Linked DNA regions of Elephas maximus indicus. The protein of the gene in region 1 purifies or fractionates together with the protein of each later gene. This does not show direct contact. Links are inferred from orthologs where the notes say so. Each region holds a gene or a part of one and is shown in the gene's direction. Other genes may lie near its edges.

Region 1 (7,070 bases):
GGTAGATTCGAATTGCCAGCCTTTTGGTTAGCAGACATAGCTCTTAACGGCTATGCCACCAGAGTTTCCTGATCAGATAATATGTTAATTTTCTGATTTTGATCATTGTATTGCGTTTATTTAAAATGTTAACATTTAGAGAGTGTGGCGAAGGGTATATGGAGATCCTTTGAACTATTTTTTGCAACTTTTTGGTCAATCTAAAACTATTTAAACTGAAAAGTTAAAAAGTAGAAATATGATAATATGAAATTACAGTCTGACCAGTTGTAGAGGGGATGGCTTTGGCAATAAAATGAGAAGAAATTGGTTGGATGCGGAGAGAAATGGTAAAATGAAAAACGACAAGGTTTGATCCTGAGAGAATGGTGGTAATACTAAAGCTAATAGAGTCTGGAAGAGAAACAGGTTTGGAAATAAAGAGGATGACTTTCATTGGACATGCTGAATATTTGTATCAGCTAGCCTCCAGGTAAAGCTGTGCAGCAAACACTGGAAATCTGGCACCAGGATGAAGGAGAAAGGCAATGGCTAAGGGTAGAGATTTTACATAAAGCAAAAAGTTGATGCCATAGGAGTGTGATGTGACTAAGGGGGATGGTGAAGAGAAAAAAGGCTGGTGAGAAGAGGAGCCCAGGGAAGGATGCCAGTAGGGACTGGCAGAGGTGGCGACAAAGATTTCAGAGAAAGGATTAGGTGAAGAAGGCCTATTCCTGAGGAGAGATGTTTGGCCATAGATATTCTCCAATATTTGAAGAGGTGTCATCAGAAAACTACAGCAGAGGTTTTTTAGATTAAGAAAAAAAAGTGTTGTTGTCATTAAGTGCCATCCAGTCGGTTCCAACTCATAGCCACCCTATGTACAAAAGAACGAAACACTGCCCCTGTCCTGCACCATCCTCACAATCCTTGTTATGCTTGAGCCCATTGTTGCAGCTACTGTGGCAGTCCATCTCATTGAGGGGCCTTCCTCTTTTTCACTGACCCTCCACTTTACCAAGCATGATGTCCTTCTCCAGGGACTAGTCCCTCCTGACAACATGTCCACAACATGTGAGACAAAGTCTCACCATCCTTGCTTCTTTCTGCTTTCATTCTGGCTGTACTCCTTCCAAGACAGACTTGTTCGTTCTTTTAGCAGTCCATGCTATACTCAATACTCTCCGCTAACACCAAAATTCGAAGGCGTCAATTCTTCTTCACCCTTCCCTTAAAAAATGGTCAGTACTTAAATCTTGACAAATTTGTAAATGCCCTCTGACCTCTATTTCTGCGTACTTGCTACCTTCTCGGTTAGTGATGATTAGTGGAGTTAGTTGAAATGGGAAGGTTCATTTGTGCTCTGAAAAAACAAGGTTCCAGTCCTTGAAATCACAAAAAGTTAAGAACTGGGTTTAAGATTTAATCTGGGTAAATACAGAGGACAGAGATAACCAACTAGAAGCTGCTAAAAAACTCAAACAAAGCAGTGAGCTGGGTGGGACATAATGAACTACCTGGAGAGGAAAATGATTCCTGGGGTCCCTTCCAACTCTACAATTCAATAAGCCTCTGTTTTTCTCTTCTCTTAAAAGGAAATAATAGTATTGACTTCATACGGCTTCTGTAAGGATTACAGGAGCTAATGTATATAAAAGTGCCTGGCACAGAATAGATGCTCAGTTTCTATCAGTTGAATGTGAATCAGTTCAATGGACTAAGAAATCCCAGTCCAACCGTCCGAGGAAATACCAACCACAGCCACTAGAGGGCAATCTCGGTCACTCTCTTCAATGAGACAAGTGCAGCCTGAGGTTGCAGGCGGCCTCACCGGATACACCAGCCTTTCCTATGCCGGGAAACACTCCCACTCAGGAAACCTGGCTTAGTGCTGAACTCCACGGTGTTTTCTCTGAGTCACTATATTCTCCTGCAGTTGCAAAATGATCTGGCAAAAATCCCTCAAAGGCTCTTACTGCTCACTGAGTAACATCCAAACTCCTTGCCAGAACCCAAGACCTTCCCTCACTCGATCTGGCCGCACCCAGCCAGCCTAAACTCCCCTTACTGCTTTAAACCCCAGTCACACTGGACAAGGCATGCTCCCGACCCTGTGCCTTGGCTCAGGCTGCTCCTCCTCCTTGACACCTTTCCTCTAGCCAAAAAAAAAAAATAGCCAGGCATGCTGAAATGCCACTGTTTTTCCAATGGCTCAATGCCACCTCCTCCATTATCCCTCCCTCACTTTCCCAGAAAGAGTGATCTCTCCCACCCCTGAGCTCACACTAGATGTTACATCCATTTATCTTGTATCCAACTGACTTATGTGTATACATTTTATCTCTTCAGTAGATAATAAACTCCAGGAACAGAGAGGCCAGTAGGTAATTTGTCCAGGGTAACACAGCAAGTGAGTGGCAAAAATGGGATTCTAACCTGGGCAATTCGGCTCCAGAGAACTCCTGCTCTTAACCACTAATTCATACTACAATCTTTCACCAGCTGCAGTGCCTAGCTCAGAGCTTTGCACACAGTGACGTTGAATAGTTTATCAGATGAATAGCTGAAAAAACTTTGATCTAATTTGCACCTCTTGAACCGTCATTGAGTTATGGGGTGTCGGGAATCAGCAACTCATCCATCAGAGTTGGAGTGCCTGGCCGTGGGTCTAATGATGAGCAATTTCAGAATTCTAATTACGATTCCGTTTTGCCTTTTGGTCTGGAACACATACAAGGATCTAAAAACATCCTTACTTACTGAAGCCTAGGAGATGTCTCCTTTTGTGAAGCTTCCAACGTATATTTTCAGTGTGAAATGAGGGAGGTGGACTGGATGCTCTGAGGGTCTTTTCTTCAGTTCTAACAGTCTGACTCTGAGGGACTAAGTACGGGATCAGAAAAAGCTTCTGCCTCCATATCAGGAGACATCATTTTGAGTCTCAGAGCTGTCATCACCGTGAGGTGACTGTTTACCCAAGTCAGTTAATCCTAGTCTCAGCTTCCCCATCTGTAAAACGTCATCTATTCAGTGCCAGGCACGGGGAGGGGGGGATGATACAGTAATGGACAGACATGGCCTCTGCTCATTCAGCTAAGAAAATCGGATGACACTTATATTTTAGGGTTGTCCTAAACTGAAATGATCCAAGCATTCTGTAAACTGCAGTGTCTGGTACAGGTTCACGATGCTCATCTTGCCAGGGTTCCCATTTTGCCAAATCCAATGGCAACAAAAACGTTTCCAATTTTGCGGTTTTGGGGAAAATCCAGATAGTGTTATCTTAATCAAACCCAGTCACCTCTGCATGCGGCCTTCTTGCCTCTCTCCTGCCTCCCAAGTAAAAGTTGGCTGGGGCTATCTGTGCTCCGGGCACTAATCAAGCAGCAGACCGCCACTGCTGCAGTTGCTGGCAGAGGAGAGGTACCCACAGCCCACTTCCACAGGCTCTGTCGACAAGCCAGACGCTGGGAATCTGGACCCCTGGGTTCACCAGCTCTCACTTGAGCTGAAAGGCTCCAGGTCACCAGGCCCCTCTGGAGGCAAGCCACATCTGTGATGAAGCCATCTTGCAGGGCTACTGTGAAATACCGAGGCTTATCAGGGGCGAGCCTGGCCAAACGACAAGGGGCCGGCGAGGGTTCCATCTCGAACCCCTGGGCGCGCCTCGGCCGCAGCCCTTCCTTCGGGAAGTCAGCGACACGTCCCGGCTGCACCACACACCCGCTGGACGGCTTCGGGACAAGTTCACCGGCCAGCCGTACTGGGCTCGTCTCTCCCCGGGGGGGGCGGTCCGGACCAGCCCTAAGACCGCCCCGTGGAGCCCGCGGGCGCCGAGGACCACAACGCCCGCAGGAGACAATCTGGGCGCGCTCAGGAGCGGACCACGTGACGCCCGCGGCCCAGCCTCGAGCTGCGCGGGAGCCAGGGGGCGGGGCGCCAGGGGCGGGGCGGGGCGCCAGGGGCGGGGCGGGGGCGGGACCCGGCGCGCGCCGCTCCGCGGTGACAGGGCGGGCGGGAAGGGGCGGGGCCTCGGGCGCAGCCGCCGGGGGGAGGTGGGAGGGGAGGAGTGGAGATGGCGACGGCGGCGACTGAGGGGGGCGGGGAGCCCCGGGGAGCTGATGGGGTCTGCCTGGGGGTCCCGGGGGAAGTGGAGGTAGTAAAGGGGCAGCCGTTCGACGTGGGCCCTCGCTACTCGCAGCTACAGTACATCGGCGAGGGCGCGTACGGCATGGTCAGGTGAGGGGGCGTCCCAGGGGAGGGGGCTGTTTAAGCGATCGGGGTGATTTAAGGGGAGGGGGCTCCGAGAGTGGGGGAGGAGAGGGGAAGGGGTGCTGAGTACTTCCTGAGATGTGGAGACTCGAGCGTCCCGAAGAGGCAGGGGACTGAGGAGGCTCGGGGAGCGTCCCGGGGAGGGGACCTTTGAGTGCCTTCTGGGGGAGGGGGCGCTGCGTGCGTTCCAGTGGGAGGGGGCTTGGAGGCCTTGAATGGATCATTCCATACTGAAGGGAGGGGCTTCTGAGTGTATCGAGGGGACCTGTGGGGACCTTGGGAGGAACGGGTGGAGACCCGGGGCCGAAGAGGTTAAGTGTTCTTGGGGAGGTAGTATCCTAAGGGGGAGTAAAGGACCTTCTTTGGAGAGAGGATGCCTGGGATTCTCCCACTGAGACTGTGCCAAAACAGTTTGGGAGAGAAGAGTAGCGCTTAGGGCTGGGCAGGGTGGGGCAGGGCTTTGGGCTGGGGGCCAGAGGCCCAGTGAGGGATGAGGGCCAGGAGTGCCTCCCTGCATCCTTTGGGAGGGGTCTGTGAACTCTCCCAGCCTCACCGGCTGCTCTGGGCTTCTGTTCCTGCGGGAACAGCTCTACTGCCCAGGTACTTCACCCTGACACCAACCCCTGCCTTGTCCCTTCTTTCCAGCCCTTCCTATGGCCCCCTCCGTCTCACTGTATTTGCCTCACTGTATGTCCTCTATTCATCTCCATCCCTGGACCTGTCTGGGGTTCAGGGCGCACACCCTGTGGGAAGAGGAAGATGAAGGTTCAGGGCAACTAGAATGAAAGGGGGGTGAGAATAGGGGATGTCAGCGAGCGGTCAGCCTCTTCCTCCGTTTGTGAAGTCACCAAAGGGCTGCCTGGCTGGTCCCCTGCCTTCTCCCTAGAGATCCCAGGCCTCCCCAGCAGGAAGGAACCATCATTGTTTATGGCTTGACCAGAGCCCTCTCCTGCTCCCTTCCCTCCCTGCCAAGGCCTGGGTGGGGCTACCAGTCCTGGACTCCCCCTTTATAAGGCCACACCATCAACATCTCTCTGGCCCTCTCAGCTCAGCTTATGACCACGTGCGCAAGATTCGTGTGGCCATCAAGAAGATCAGCCCCTTTGAGCATCAGACCTACTGCCAGCGCACGCTGCGGGAGATCCAGATCTTGCTACGCTTCCGCCATGAGAATGTCATTGGCATCCGAGACATTCTGCGGGCACCCACCCTGGAAGCAATGCGGGACGTGTATCCTTCACCTCTGCCGGATGGCTGGCCAGGCGTGGCCTTGGAGCTGGGCTGGGGACAGCATTGGCATTCTTTCTGCTTCCTTCTTCCCTACCACCTTCCAGAACAAACCCAGTAAAAGAAACTTTCTGGCCCGAGAGGCCACACACAGAGTGTTAAAGGATTGGGGCCTTCATTGAATCCTGGCCTGCTGCAGCCAGGCCATGTAGCCTTGGGCTAGTCCCTTTTCTGCCCTGTGCCTCAGTAGGGGGCTGGGTGAGATAGTCTCTATGGGAGCTTTGTCTTCTGACATCTGCAGTTCTGTGACATGATCCAGCCTCTGCCCACAGTTGGTTCTTGCTTAACAGACTGATTCTTTGCTCTCTAGACCCCAGACTGGAACGAAGGCAGGAAGGAAGAAAACTGCCTTTCCTTGAGGGCCTACTATGTGTAGAGAGCTGTGCCTGCCAAGTGCTTTGATGGTTCTTATTCTCCCTCCCAACTGCCCTAAGAGATGGGCCTTGTGAGCTCTATTTCAAAGATGAGGAAAAGGAGACTCAGAAAGTCCAAAATCAAGTGCTTCTGTTGCTGCCTCTTCCCCTTTCCCAAATAAGAACTTGTCTTTTCTCTGGGATTTCCCTCTCAGAACCCCACCCAAGTCACCTCTGAACTTGAACCTTGCCCAGGGAGGGACAGCCTAACTTTTGTTGGCCTCCTCTGATATTGCTTTCCTGGTTTGTTGTCCACTTCCTGCCTGGCTCGATGGCTTCTGTTTTCAGCAGCTTATGATACCATCACCCCTTCTCCCATCCCAGACCGCCACCCAAAGTAAATAAAAACCAAACCTGTTGCCATCGAGTTGATTCCAACTCAGCAACCTTGTAGAATAGGATAGAGCTGCCCCGTAGGGTTTCCAAAGAGTGGCTGGTGAATTCAAACTGCCAGTGTTTTGGTTAGCAGCCATAGCTCGCTGTAGCTCTTAACCACTGCATCACCAGGGCCCCAGCCTCCACCCAAGAGTGGGGATTTGCCCTGTAGAGTCTGCAGCCTCCACCACAGACTGGACAGGGAATCTCTGTGCTTACCCTGACTTGCTGTGTGACCTTAAGCCAGTCACTGCCTCTTGCTGGGTCTCCCCATCTCTAAAGCAGCAGGGTTGGTCCACATGTCCTCAGAAGGCCCTTTTGAGGCTGATTCTAAAAGATATTCAGTACTTATTCCTCCAGAGACAAGCCAAATGGCATTTATTTATATTTAATATTTGTTTTATCTTAAAATGTAAATGTACATTTATTCCTCAATCTTCTGATTTTTGGCCAACGACTCTTCTTTGAGTAGGAGTGTGCTGTTGGGAGTATCTCCTCATTTTTCTTGCGCAAACCATTCCCATCAGGCAGGAATTTAAAAATAAGCAAATATTTATTGCATGCCAGATGGTGTTCATGCATTATCTCATTTAACCCTCTCAACAGCCATGTGGCACGGACATTTATAATAGTTGATGTTTGCTGATTACTTACTATGTGTCAAACACTGGGCTGACTGTTTTACATGGGTTTTGTCATCCTGTCCTCACAACCACCCTCTAAAGAATAGTTATTTCCTTCATT
Region 2 (6,859 bases), on another chromosome or scaffold:
GGGCACCAACTGTTCCCAGCACGTAGTAGGTGGCTTCCTGAAGGCCGGGGTCTGCGTGCTGTGCATGTGCCTGTCTGCGGTGTGGTGGGGGAGGGCTGGGTGTGCACGTGTGCTTGTGCGTGTCTGGGTGCGGGGGAGGGGGAAGACAGGCAGAGGGAAAAGCACGAGGCACCCTCCTGGGCTCTCTCATGCAACAATTGGTTTCATTCATTCATTCATTCATGTCTTCTTTGTCAGCAAGCATTTCTTCCTGAGCGTCGGCAGTGGGGCTGGGGCCAGCTGGGGGCCGGGCACACACTGGCCTGCCTTGGAGGAGCTCCCAGTCCCGCCAGGGGACAGACCAGGAAAACCAGAAAGCAATCCCCAGCAGGAAGTGGATTTGGTGGCAAAGAGACTGAATTTGGCAGCAGCGCTGTCTCTGGGAGTTGTACTCCTGGCCATGTGACCAGGCTGCCACAGCCGAAATCCTGCCACTGTGCCTGGTGGGAACGGTGCATTTCGGGGTGAGGGGCGCCGCTCTCCGGAGACTCCCGGACTAGAGGGCACAGGCGGTATGCGCGGGGCCTGAGGGCGGCGGCGCCCCTACGGCCTCCAGGGTCTGCTGGCCAGGTGGGGCTAAGGCAGGGGCATCCGGTGGGTCTGGCCGCGCCGGGCCGCCTGAGAGGGAGAGGGCGGGGGCGGCGAGTGCAGCGCCCACCCTGCGGAGAGCGGCGAGCGCGCCGCCGGCAGCCTGGCTCCGCCCGCCAGAGCGGGCCTGGCGAGGCCCGGGCGCCCGGCGCGCTCCCCTGCCCGAGCCTTCCCGGGAGCGGCCGCGAGGCAGGGCCGGCGACCCAAGCAGGCACTGCAGGGGGCCGGAGTCGGGGAGGCCTCGGCGTGGTGGGGGGGCGCTTGGCGGCGCTCAGCCCTGCAGTGCGGAGATGGCAACAGGTTCTCGTTCGTCCTGCTGCTGGCGCTGCGGGCGCTGCTGGCGCCGGCACTGAGCCGAGCACTCACTTTCGAGATTGAATCCCCCCCACTCCTAAATGCTCCCTCCCCGGGCTGCCGGGAACCACCGAGGCACAGCCGGCCACCGGCTCCTCCGTGGGAGGCCTCGCCAGCAGGGGTCTGGAGCAATAGACCCGCAATGGAGCTTTTGGGACACACAGGCTCCGTCCTCCCAGGGGGTTATTGGGACCTAGGCATCCCCTGCAGCTCCAGTCACCCCCAGGGGGTCCTGTCCAGAGAGCACCCTAGACGCTTCAGGAGCTCCTATCTCCCAGAGCTTGGTGACACTCTCTCCAACTACACTGAGTCCCCATGGCAGGACCAGTCAGGGCACATGTCTCTCCAATTAATTCCTCGCTGGCCACAGCAGACTTATGCTGGGCAATCTCCTTGGTGCCTTCAGCCCCTGCCCATCCCAAGGTCCTGTCCCCAGCTGCAGCGGGTGCCCACATATGCCTCCCTGGAGATAGGATGTGAGAGACAAGAGCCCCAGGAGCGCACCGAGAAAGGGGCAAATGAGCCCCCAATCTGCAGGCTCTTGGAGTGACAGCCTCAGGGAGCACCAAGGAGGGAGACCACAGCTGGCCCGTGAGACTTCCTGTTTTTCTTGGATGCCTGAAGGAGAGTGCCTTGTGGGGGGGTCCAAAAAAATGGGCAGAATCTGGACAGATGGCAGAGGAAGACCTATGCTGGAGGCAGGGACCAAGGTGCAAGAGAGAAAGGGGGACATGGCCCAGCTGCCTGAGGCCACCCTCCCCCCATGGAGGCGGTTTAAGTAAAACCGCCCTGGAGGCCAGGGAGGGTAGGTCTTTGCATGTTCTTAAGCAGGGACATGATGGGGCATGGCTAGAGATCAGTCCACTGACAGTGCTCCAGAAGTCCGAGGCTGGAGGCCCACTGGGGGAGGGGCAAACTGGAGGCCTAGCTTTCTGGGATCTGTTCTCTTCCACTCAGCAGTACCTCCCAAGCATTTTCTCATCTTGCTCTATTGGCTCATGAGACCAGTGTTTTCAACAGACATACAGGCATACGTACATAACTGCTCTAAACGTTGGACTTCAGGTTGCTTGGCATTTTTCACGCCTTAAAAAAACGTTTTGTGGTGTCCGTCCTGCTGTGGATAGCTTTTCCTTCTTTTAGCTTATTTTCTTCAGGTAGATTCCCAGAAGTGGTCAAAGGGAAAGGATATTTTTATTTTTCTTGATACATATTGCCAAATTAGTTTCCAATAGGGTTTTACCCGCCAATACAGCAGCATACCAGTTGCACAGCAACTTTGCCAGCACTAGGCATTCTTATTTTGAAATGCTTTGATTTTGCTACTGTAGTTGGTGGGGAGTGTTACCTGGTTTTTTGGGTTTGCTTTCCTCCATGCCTGAGCTTGAACATTTCCCCAAACATTTTCGAACCAGTTGCATTTCCTCTTTTATTCCTGCCCATTTATCAATCCTGGTCTTAAGCTTCTGATTGATTTCCGAGCTTTGTCTTACGTGCTGCACATTTTCCTTCAACACTGTGATTTGCTTTTCATGGATTTTAAGCAGAGAAGGGACAAACCCGATCACCTTTTTAGAACCCCCCATCACATTGTCCCGTTTCATTGTCTCAGCACTTGTCCCAACCTGACATTATTGTGTTTGCTGCTGGTCTGTCCTGCTAGACTCTGAGCACCGTGTGTTCTGCCTGGCTTATCACCCTGTTCCTATGGATGGGATGGAGCCCACTGGCCCTTGCTGAATGAAAGGCTGAGTTCTGGCAGCGGGGAGCTGATTAAGGGGTGACTCCCAGGATTCTGGCCGGGGTGACTGGGTGGATATGCTGGCTGAGAAGGTGGATGTGTTTGAGGAGTTGAGCAATGTGGTAGGAGCAGAGTGTGGTGGGGTGGGGTTTGGAGGTCAGAGCCTCTGGGTGCCTTCGGCCAGGCCTGTCCCACTGAAGCCCACGGGGGGAGCCTAGGGGCTGCCTTCTGCCTGCCTAGCCCTTGGTGGGAGCTCTGGGCCAAAGACAGTGGTGGGTTTCCGATCCCGGTTCTTCCTCCCCTCCACGATGTCAGCGGCATCCCACAGTAGCCCAAGGTGGTGGCTGTCGTGCATCCACTATACAGATGGTGCCGCTGAGGTCCAGACTCACTGAGTCAGTTGGGTTGGAGGCAACCCCTGGGGCAGGGACGCTGGGCTTTGGGCCTCACCCCACCCCTCCCCCACCTCCTGGCCGAGTGGCGCCACCAGGGGAGCTGTGCTTGACCAGTCCTTCCTGGGCCCCTGACTGCCCTTGGCCTCTGCCCCATCGTGTCCCGCCTTGGTGGGAGCCCCAGCTTAGCGCGCCACTTGCAGGGCCCACCCAGCTGCTCTCGCTGGAACCTGTTGGCTCCCTGGCCACCCTGAGCCCTCCCCTGCCCGCCCCTGCCCCGCCCCTCTGAGCTGCGGCTCCGCATCCAAAAGGAGCGGCTTCCAGAGTAGAAGCTGGGTCCAGGGCCAGCAAGTGGCGGGAGCGCTGGCAGAGCCGGCCTGGCCTTCCACGTGCGCGCCTCCTCAGCAGCCCTGCCTCTTGCCCAGCAGCCGGGCCTGGGGACTCGCCGCCCGGGGACAGCGCCGCACGCCCCGCTGTGGCCACGACGTCTGAAAGTGGCTGCTCGCCGCCTGATCCCAACTCCAGGTCTCTCTCCTTTTGTCCTGTCTTCCCTGGGGAAATCAGGACACCTCAGCTCCAAGAGGGCCCGCCGAGGCCCGTCACCTGGGTGTCACCTCTGTGCCCGGGCCTGCCTGGCCGTGGACGGGGGGAACTGGGCCTTGAACTCCCCCCCGCCCCCAGCACACACACGCACCCAAACTCAAAAGCCTGAACTTGGGGAGTGATCGCTGGCAGGCTGAAAGACGCAGAAAGGGGGTGTGAAGGGCCGTGGCTGTGGCCCTGTGGTGTCCCTGGAGGGACTGGCGAGGGATCCACAGCCGTCTAAGGGGCCACCAGATGGCCAGCCTTCCTCTCGCAAGAGCAGGGAGCAGTGCCGGACACCGCGTGTTTTCCTTCGGGGCGCCCTCCTGTGCGTCTTGGCTGGGGTGGTGGGAGGAGAGGAGCCGGCGATGGCGAGGTGCCTCGCGGGCCCGGACGCCTGCCTTGGGAAGCAGAGGCGACTTCGCCCGCCTGGGCTCACAGCCACCTCCCCTTCCTCCGCAGTGCCGGTGGCCAGAAGCGCAAGGGGCTGATGGAGGGCCTGGGTCGCTCCTGCCTGTGGCTGCGACACGAGCTGTCGCCCCCACGGCCGCAGCTGCTGCTCCTGGACTGCCGCAGCCGTGAGCTATACGAGGCGGCGCGCATCGGTGGGGCGCTGAGCGTGGCCCTGCCAGCGCTGCTGCTGCGTCGCCTGCGCCGGGGGAGCCTGTCGGTGCGCGCGCTGCTGCCTGGGCCGCCGCTGCAGCCGCCCCCACCTGCCCCCGTGCTCCTGTATGACCAGGGCGGCGGGCGGCGGCGGCGCGGGGAGGCTGAAGCTGAGGCCGTTGAGGAGTGGGAAGCCGAGTCGGTGCTAGGCACCTTGCTCCAGAAGCTGCGGGAGGAAGGCTACCTAGCCTACTACCTACAGGGTAAGTGTCTGCAGCCCAGCCTGGGGAGGTAGGGCCCCTCCCGCCCTGGGGATTCATAATTAATTCGTCCTTGGGCAAAGTGGAGGTAAGACTCCCTCTCTGACTCCCTGCCAGGCAGCTGGGGGCTGGGGGTCTGAGCATGACCTTGGCCCAGTCCTTCACCTTTGGGAGCCCCGATTTCTCAGTCTGGAAAATGAGGAGAACTGGGCTGACCTGACCTAGCTTGGCACATTCTCCGGCCTCCCCATGGTTGTCACGCCACCTCTTAGGGCAGCAGGAGACCAGCTCCCAGGCTCTGGGGCATACAGTCATGGCGGGGCTGGGAGAGGGGGAATGCAGCTGCTCCCCAACATCCAGGGCAGGAACAGGGCTCCCCTGAGCCTACAGGACCAGTTTTTCCCATCCCCTTCAGTTCAGTTGGTGGCCAAGGAGGGTCATTGGGTCTGCGCCCATTGCTCCCTTCTGAATATGGTCCACTTTGGGTCAGTCTCCCTGGGCTCCTTCTGCAACAGCAGCCGCAGCTGCAGATTCAGGGTGGTGGCGGGGGTGCCCACAGCCTGTGGGGCGACTCCTGATCCACATGAGGACACCAGTATAGATCAAGCTGCAGGCTTTCTCATTCCCTTTGGGGGCATCTGGGGTTAGCTCCCTATCCCCAGCCAGGTGAGCAGGACCCTCCCTCTCCCTGCACAGGTGGCTTCAGCCGATTCCAGGCCGAGTGCCCTCACCTGTGTGAGACCAGCCTCCAGGGCCATGGCGGCCCCAGCACAGCCCAGGCACCCGGGCCAGTGCCCGTCGTGGGGCTAGGCGGCCTGTACCTGAGCTCCGATTGCTCTGACGCAGAATCTGAGCCGGAACGTGACCCCACAAGCTTCGGCCTGGATTCAGAGGGTGCCACACCTCCCCCAGCGGGGCTGCTGCCATCCTTTCCTGTCCAGATCCTGCCCAACCTCTACCTGGGCAGTGCCCGGGATTCAGCCAACCTGGAGAGCTTGGCCAAGTTGGGCATCCGTTACATTCTCAACGTCACCCCCAACCTCCCCAACCTCTTCGAGAAGAACGGCGACTTCCATTACAAGCAGATCCCCATCTCAGACCACTGGAGCCAGAACTTGTCCCAGTTCTTCCCAGAGGCCATCGCGTTCATTGGTGAGTCACCCCTTGTCCCCCCTTACCCCCCAGACCTGATTCCCGGTCCCTCCTCAGAGAATTCCTCCCATTCTGTAAGGCAGACCAGGTGGCCACTTAGCTGCCCTTCCCCAGAAAGCAAGATGGCAACTTCAAGGTGGTGCGCAGGGCTGGGGCCAGCTCCCAGAGGCCTGACCTGGCATGGCCACTGGGTCACAGGGCAAGCGGGGGCTGGGAGGACCTTTGCTTCAGGCAGGCTGCCCTCCCCTGGCTCCTCCTAGATGAGGCCTTGTCCCAGAACTGCGGGGTGCTCGTCCACTGCCTGGCTGGGGTCAGCCGCTCCGTCACTGTCACCGTGGCCTACCTCATGCAGAAGCTCCACCTCTCCCTCAATGATGCCTATGACCTGGTCAAGAGGAAGAAGTCGAACATCTCCCCCAACTTCAACTTCATGGGGCAGCTGCTGGACTTCGAGCGAAGCCTGAGGCTGGAGGAGAGGCGCTCGCAGGGGCGCGACAGTGGGGGGCAGGGATCCACCACCTCCAATGACCCACCCTCCTTCTTCACAACCCCCACCAGCGATGGCGTCTTTGAGCTGGACCCCACATAAGGCCCCCCATGCCCACCGCCTCTCAACGGGTGCTCCTGACCACCTCACGTGGCGGGGGAGGGGGCGGGTGGGGTGGGACTCGGGGAGGGGGCTCAGCTGTAGGCAGGAGGCTGGGGGAGGGAGCACAATACCTCACATGGCGCGGTGGAAAGAGGCAGGGGCTGGGGCCTGGGATACTCAAAGGCCCGGCTCCCTCGGCTCCCGGCTCCCTCGTCTCACCAGCAGGGGTGAGGAGGAGAGCCTTGTCCTGCCCACTTGAAACATCAGCGAGGAGCCTATTAAACGTGCCTATTAAACCTGCCGCCACTTTCGGGCTGAACCGGCTCGGCTCCGGAACCTGCCTCTGCTGCGACTGTTACTTTTCTCTTTGGGGGTGGGGGTGGGGTTCTCATTGGGAGGGGCCATTCACTGGGCCCTGGCCGTCCCACTAATCTTCTCTCTCCTGAAAGGGTGTGTGCCTGTTAAGGCCACCTGGTTTGCCACAGGGCTCTGCTCCCAGGCCTGTCCCTGTACCCAAATGGCTGCTGTAGAGAGGGGTTTGCCTGGGGTTGTGAGCCTG
Region 3 (7,472 bases), on another chromosome or scaffold:
AAATCTCAAATGCCTCCAATCTCAGGAATTCCTGCAAAGCTGGAATGCTTCTTCAATAGCCAAGTGAAAAGTTATAATCAAAAGACTTACAAACAAGTCTTTTTTTTTAAGTGTATTGGGTTTATTTGAGCCTTATTAACAACTTTTAAGGAGCTTTTTGGGGGAAACACTAGGAAGAATTGAAGCATGTGTGTTTGGTGCACGCACACACGTACACAGAGAGAAAAGAGGATCTGTGACATTGCTTCTGTGCACTTACAATGGCTCAGAGATGCCTTGCTGAACATAGCCCTCTACATAATGAATGACAGATACCCTCGGAGGCCTCTGCAAGTAAGGAAGCCTGTGGTTTGTCTGGTGGCAAGAACGCTTATCTTCTGAGGGTGCTTTTCTTGGGCGCCTGGCCGATGAGTCAGGAAGGTGAGATTGGAGACAGGGTCACCAGTAACACCGTTTCAGCTTTCTAGAGGAATGAAGCAGTGGTTTTTAAAAAACCATCTTTTGAGTATCTGCTTTATGCCCTACACTTTTCTTATGTTATCTTGGCTGTCCCTACTTCTCAGTCCTTTGACGTGGGTATACATATTCCCCATTTTACATACTGCTGAGTTCCCTTCCCTGCTTTATTTTTCTCCATACATTTTCATTTTCTAATATACTGTATAACAATTGATTTTATTTATCATCTCTCCTCCCTAGAATGTAAACTCCAGGTGTGTCGGTATTCTCATCTGTTTTATTCAAAGCTGCTTTCCTGGCACAAGGAGGGAAGGGAGGGAGGGAGGGAGGGAGAGAGGGAGGGAGGTAGGCAGGCAGGCCCAGAGAGGCTAAGTGACTCTCTCTGTCAGAATACCAGTGAATGACGGAGCTAAGATTTGACCCCAAGCCCACGTACCACGCTGACACACTAGACAATAGTGGCTGTGAGGATTAGAATCTAAGGCAGATTTTAAGGGAGAACACGCATTTAGTGGCTGGTAGACTAATGAAGAGCTGCAGGCAAAGAAAACCAACCCATGTAAAGGCATCAGGGATATAAGCCTAACTTCTGATCCTTGAGATTTGTGGGGCGGGTGCAACATAATATAAGAGGCTGGAAAAGCCTGGCGATCAGCAAAGAAAATGCAGACCTTGAAATCCTTCAAATTTAGGCAACAAACAGCCCTGGGTGGTGAGTATGGTGTCCACAGTGCCCATCATCTGTATATATGGTAATCCTTAAGAGACTGAGAATGACCTGGCTTCAAATCCTGAACCCACTGTTTGCTACTGTGTGACCACAGGCAAATTCCTTAATCTCTGTAAATACGGCTAGTGCAAATGGGTTGTTGAAGACTGACTGAAATTATACACTTGCAAGCACATAAGCACATAAATGGAGACCATGCCCACTACACATCATTTCTATTGTATCAGTGTGGTGTGGCAGCAGCATATGGTGCTTTAAAAGAGGACCCTCGTGGTGCAATGGTTAAGAGCCTGGCTGCTAACCAAGAGGTTGGCAGTTGGAATCCACCAGCTCCTTGGAAACCCTATGGGGCAGTTCTACTCTGTCCTATAGGGTCGCTAGGGGTCAGAACTCACTTGACTTGGCAAGGGTTTTTTTTTTGTTGTTGTTGTTTAGTCCAGAGAAGTTAGAAAGGTAGCATTCTTTTTATTAAGAGTGCTAAAGGATTTTAAGCCTGGTCTAGGGCAGCACCAGGGTACCTGGGTGGTGGAAATGGTTAGCAACCCGCCTGGGACACCTGGGAAGAAAGGCCGGATGACCTGCTTCTGAAAACCCTAGTGAGCACAGGTCTACTATGGCACACATGGGGTCACTATGAGTTGGAATCTACTCAATGCCAACTGGCTTTTTTTTTTTTTTTTTTTTGGTCAGGACAGCACCTGCTTTGCTTGACAGCTGAGTTGGAATAGAATAAACTAGTTAGGGCAGTTTGCGCGGGGGGGCGGGTGGCGGCTGGGGGGCTGGGCAGGCCTCAAAGGGCATCTTTGGGTTGGAAAGAAATGTCCAAAAGGATCCCGATCATTTTGCCGGCTCCCAATTCAGAACAATGAAACTGGTATGAACTAAGCTAAAGCACACCTCCACCATATTAGGGAACTTCATTGTACCCGTTCAATTAACACTGCGACCCTATGAAGCTGCTATCATTATTACACTAATCGTACTAACGCGGAAAACTGCGGTTTCGAACAGTTAGATGATTTAACCAAGGTTACACATCTAAGAAGAGGTGGGGCAGAATTCAAACCCTGGCAGCCTCACTCCCGAGGGCCTCGATGCCGAACGATTAAAGATGCCACAAAGAAACGACATTCCTGTAGCGGTAGGGTTTCACGCAATAGAGAACCATGGGTAAAACTAAACGTTTCGTTATTCAGGTTGGCGAAGTGCTGGGATTGTCCTCCCAAATCTCTGCTGAAGCTCAAGTAACAGCACTTTCAAACTGGGTTTGAGTAGAAACCAACTTCCCTCTCTGCCTTTTCTGTTGGAGATCCTGGATTAAAAGATTGTGCCCATCTCAATTCCGATGCCGGGCGTCCTGCCTCTCCCCACCCCGTCCCCGGGTCCTCGAGACGTTAGTCTCGAAGTGGGAACGTCCCTAACAGCTAGGGGACGGATGAGAGACATCAAATTCACGCAGGCCTCCCCGACTTGGAATGGGCAGATTTCCAGAAGAATCTGCAGAACTGGGATCTTAGTTCCAAATGCTGCCCAAAAAAGGCGCCCTGAGAGGAGCGCGGCAACCCCCACTTTAGCAGAGCGAGCTCCTCCAGGGGCTGTCTGCCTCCACGAGAGCTCCAAAATTGGCAACCTAGTCCTCGCAGCCGCCTTTTTTTAACCAACATTCTCCAAAGTAGTGAAGAGGCGGGTGATTAAAAATGCAAACTGCAGCGGGGGCTTCAGCAGGTAGGCCCAGGAGCGCGGGGCATCGGGCGAGAGGAGACCCCGCGACCTCAGGCGCCCTCAGCTACCGCCCGGGTTGGTGCAGAGGCCGGGAGGAGCGCTCTGAAAACCTTCTCCCCGCCGGCCTCTGCCCCCGCTTCCGCCTCCCAGGCCGCCGCAGGACAATGCGCGGCCTCTTTTCCGCCCAGGCTTAGGGAGGGGACTTGGCCGGATTAGGGCCCGCGCCTTCCGGCCGCGCCGGGCCGTGCCGGCCGCACACAGGTGGTTTTCCGCTCGCGAAGGACGGGCCAGGCCACTTTTATATAACAAAGCGCTCTGCGCGCCCGGAACGCGCCTCTCCGCCGCCGCGGCCCCCGCCCGGCCACGCCTTCATCCGGCCTCCCGCCCCGCCCCGCGACGCCTCGGCCCGGCTAGCTGCTCCCCTGGTTACCTGCTTGCTTGGTAGAGCCGTAGATACCTTCCCCGCGACTCCCCGCCCACCTCGGGAGCCAGGGAGTCCAAGTCGGCACTCCTTTTCGACCCCCCACCCCGTCCCAGGCCGCACGGAAGCCAGAGGCCGGCTCTCGGCCTCCGCACCGGTCCGGGAGATCGAGCAACGCCCGGTGCCTGCCGAGCCGGGAGGTGGTACAGCGGGCAGCGGCAAGGAGCGCAGCGCGCAAGCGCGGCCGGGGCTCCGCGTGTGCCGGGCGCTGGGGGTGGGGGGTGCTGTAGCTTGCGCAGGGAAGGGGGGCCAGGCCAAAGTGGGGGACAATGCCAGGCGGGGTGAAGGCTGCAGCCGGCCGGGTGTAGTGAGGCGCCCCTGGGACATGAGTCCTTGTCTATAGTAACCAGTCGTCCAGTCCGCCAGCTGAGCCCCCGCAGCCTGCAAGCCTTTCGGCAGGACTTCCTTCCCACCTTGCTGATGGCGAGGACGCCGGCTTGGCCCAGCGCGCCCTCGCGCACCTTACCTAGGCAGTCCCACCAGACCGGCTCCTCAGTCGGAAGCCGAGCTCGCTGACCAGAAATGATTAACGAGCGCGACCCCCCCGTGTGCGATGGGTGGCGGAAGGGCGGTGATTTAGGTCCCCAGAACAGTCGTTCTTAACGCCCCACGCCACTAGAGCGAAATAAAACATCAGGCTGCCCAACCAGTTTGCTTTTGCAGCCTCCACTTTTTATTTGATAAATTAAAAGAGTTAAAAAAAAAAAAAAACTTCATTGTGCTTGTTTAGACAACCAGACATTTGTTTGTTTGCTTGCTTTAAAATGTTTCAACCAAGTCCTGATTTGTTTCGAAAAACGTAGGATTAGCATTTAACACTTCATCGGTCACTAAAGCCCAGGCAGTTCACCAGTCCCAACAAAGCCTCGGCTAAAAGAACATCAAGCAAACAGAGCTAGCCTTTTTAAACAGGCAAATAAATAAATGCCACACACTGCCTAAAGAAGTGCGGGGGGAGGGGGAGGGTCAAGGCGAACTCGGGCCCGAGTGAATTTGAAGGGAAAAAGTCAGCTTAAGTTTTCCTAAAGCTACCTCGCGAACATAGGCGTCTCGAACAAGGGCTTTTGTGTCTTCTAATTGCACCATTTGTGCGCAAAAGTTCCGACGCGAAGTGTGAACTCTCAACAAAAGGAAACATGAGACAACTGAAGTGCCCTGGTTTATGTGCCCTGCTCCTCCTCCGCCACCGCCTCCTTTTCTTTCTCCTTCCTCCTGCGGAGCCCGCTGTTGCAGCTTGTTTGCACTGGGGCTTATCCGGAGCGGAAATTCCTTTCCGTTTTTGTGAATGACAAACTCATTAACAATTCATCAACACAACCTGTTCCAGCCGGCCCGTCCCCACGGCAACAGCCCCTTCCGCAGCTCGCTCATTGGCTGACTCCGAGAATGTATCCATTGAGACGCTCGCTGTTTGTATCCATTGAGGAGCAGCCTCGCGCAGGGTTGTGCGAAGGCTGAGACCTAGGGACAGTGAGCAAATCGAGGCTTGAATAATCCGAGGAGAAAGACGCCCGGGTGGATTTGAGGTGCAGCCTTGAAGGGAGGGATTAGGAGCTCCTGGACTTTTTTTCCCCTTCCCTTTCGGTAGCCCGGAGTCCAAATTAATTGGATTTCATTCACTGGGGAGGAACAAAACTGCCTGGGCAGCTCCATTCAGAGAGACCCATTGACAGCCCGGCGCAGAGGGAACCGCCGGCTTCACTTCTGTCTCGCCTTCCCCAACCGCTAACCTCGGCTTGGGAAAGGCGAAGCGGAATCAAACCCTGCTCCGGGAGCGGCGGGCTCGCGCGGCGCGCTCGGCCTATGCCTGCCCCGAGGGGCGTCTGGTAGGCACCCCGCCTTCGCCCGCAGCTCGACCCCCATGATAGATACGCTCAGACCCGTGCCCTTCGCGTCGGAAATGGCGATCAGCAAGACGGTGGCGTGGCTCAACGAGCAGCTGGAGCTGGGCAACGAGCGGTTGCTGCTGATGGACTGCCGGCCGCAAGAGCTGTACGAGTCGTCTCACATCGAGTCGGCCATCAACGTGGCCATCCCGGGCATCATGCTGCGGCGCCTGCAGAAGGGCAACCTGCCGGTGCGCGCGCTCTTCACGCGCAGCGAGGACCGGGACCGCTTTACCCGGCGCTGCGGCACTGACACGGTGGTGCTCTACGACGAAAGCAGCAGCGACTGGAACGAGAACACGGGTGGCGAGTCGGTGCTCGGGCTACTGCTCAAGAAACTCAAGGACGAGGGCTGTCGGGCCTTCTACCTGGAAGGTACGCTCCCGGGGCTCCGCGCGCCACGTTGAGCGGAGGGCGCCCGGGTGTAAGCTACGGGCCGCGGACTGCGGGCGGGACTTACGGACTGAAAATGCCCCTGCTGCGCTCGGCTGGCGCTTTGATGCCACGCTGCCTCGCCAGGGCCCGGCCACCCGGCGGGGGCCGTAAACCGCGTGCGTTCCGCGCCGGCTAGCCTGTCCCGCGCAGAAGCCACCCGCTTCCGGCCGCCGGCACGGGCCGTTCTTTTCCAACGAGTTCTCTGGCTGCCTACTCGCAACATCTTTCTTCTCCTGCTTTCTGTTGATCGATTTTGAATTAAGATTTGCAGAACAGGAGAGGTCGTTTCGGTGCAGATTGGCACTTCTTATTCTTAGTCACTTAAAATATTCGAAAAAGTTGCCATTTTGTGTGCTTCCGGAATGAAAAGAAGAAGAGATCCGAGGGGAAGCGGGCAGTCCGTTCGTTCCTCTCCCGAGGGTGCACATTGAAGTGTATTTCTTTTCTTTTTTGGTTTTATGTGTAGGGGGAGGGGAAGGGGCTTGTAGGGTGCTCGTGGCGTTTCCTGCCGCCAGCCTGCGGTTCTCACAAGCTGTGAAAACTACTACGGGATCTCGGGTTACAGTATTGCTTTTCTCGTCCTGGCAGGTGGCTTCAGTAAGTTCCAAGCCGAGTTCGCCCTGCACTGCGAGACCAATCTAGACGGCTCGTGTAGCAGTAGCTCACCGCCCTTGCCAGTGCTGGGACTCGGGGGTCTGCGGATCAGCTCCGACTCCTCCTCCGACATTGAATCTGACCTTGACCGAGACCCCAATAGTGCCACGGACTCGGATGGCAGCCCGCTGTCCAACAGTCAGCCTTCCTTTCCGGTGGAGATCTTGCCCTTCCTCTACCTGGGCTGTGCCAAGGACTCCACCAACCTGGACGTGTTGGAGGAGTTTGGCATCAAGTACATCTTGAACGTCACTCCCAATTTGCCGAATCTCTTTGAGAACGCAGGAGAGTTTAAATACAAACAGATCCCCATCTCGGATCACTGGAGCCAAAACCTGTCCCAGTTTTTCCCTGAGGCCATTTCTTTCATAGGTGAGGCTAATTGACACTCGTTGCTCTGACTTTTAAATGTAAAACTTCCAGCTATTCATAGAGTTTAACGTTTTAATTGTTCTTGCTATTTGCTAATTCGTTGGACTGCAGGTCTCTAAGGTTCAGAGAGCGTTCTTAATACTGGTTTACCTTCTTGCTAAGCAAAGTGCCTTTTGACGTGCTTGCAGACCACGGGTGTAGTTGAAATGCTGATTGTTTCTCGAAATCTTTAAATTCAGTCATTTGAAAGGGGGAGGAGATGACAGTCATTATCAGACAGAATATTCCCACATCTAAGGGCTAAATAGAAGTACCTTCTGTAGACAGGAATTCTGGCATTACTTAATAGTTTAAAGAAGATCTTGGAGTTATTTTAGGACATCAAGTTAATTGTTGGAAAGCAGTTGAATGCGAAATATTGTCCAGTTCAATGATACTGTGATACTGGTAACAGTGAGATAGTGCCTGTAACCTGAACCCAGCAGGAAGAGCTGTGGGCTGGAAGCCTGGGAGAAGCGAATCTCCAGGCATTGTAATGCATTTCCTATTACAAAGGAACTCATTTTCAGGCCATGTCGACATCCTGTTCCTCCTAATGGGCTGTCCCCTGTGACTTCCCTCTCTCTTTTAAAATGCCTGAATACCCCCATTGTTAGCTGCACAACAGTTGGAGAATAATTTAATAGACCCTTGCAGTCTGCTTGTCTGTATAAAAGGCATTCACAACCATATT

Evidence for each region.
Region 2: the proteins of MAPK3 (region 1) and DUSP9 purify together in Homo sapiens (affinity purification with mass spectrometry; 4 studies listed by BioGRID and IntAct, with this or other methods). This does not show direct contact. The link is inferred for Elephas maximus indicus from reciprocal best matches to the Homo sapiens genes MAPK3 and DUSP9.
Region 3: the proteins of MAPK3 (region 1) and DUSP6 purify together in Homo sapiens (affinity purification with mass spectrometry; 7 studies listed by BioGRID and IntAct, with this or other methods). This does not show direct contact. The link is inferred for Elephas maximus indicus from reciprocal best matches to the Homo sapiens genes MAPK3 and DUSP6.

Annotation. Positions count from the first base shown.
Region 1 is NC_064830.1:89,118,809-89,125,878, forward strand, and holds the start of MAPK3 (mitogen-activated protein kinase 3), read left to right. Parts: upstream 1-4,054; coding exon 4,055-4,218; intron 4,219-5,298; coding exon 5,299-5,481; intron 5,482-7,070.
Region 2 is NC_064846.1:2,702,179-2,709,037, reverse strand, and holds DUSP9 (dual specificity protein phosphatase 9), read left to right. Parts: upstream 1-4,186; coding exon 4,187-4,562; intron 4,563-5,255; coding exon 5,256-5,711; intron 5,712-5,971; coding exon 5,972-6,300; downstream 6,301-6,859. UniProt on the Homo sapiens protein: Inactivates MAP kinases. Has a specificity for the ERK family.
Region 3 is NC_064822.1:153,391,773-153,399,244, reverse strand, and holds the start of DUSP6 (dual specificity protein phosphatase 6), read left to right. Parts: upstream 1-4,661; 5' UTR 4,662-4,710; coding exon of another isoform or gene 4,711-4,853; 5' UTR 4,854-5,122; coding exon of another isoform or gene 5,123-5,253; coding exon 5,254-5,653; intron 5,654-6,301; coding exon 6,302-6,739; intron 6,740-7,472. Other genes in the region: uncharacterized protein LOC126076469, read right to left, coding at 3,342-3,990, 4,370-4,661, 4,711-4,853, 5,123-5,255. UniProt on the Homo sapiens protein: Dual specificity protein phosphatase, which mediates dephosphorylation and inactivation of MAP kinases. Has a specificity for the ERK family. Plays an important role in alleviating chronic postoperative pain.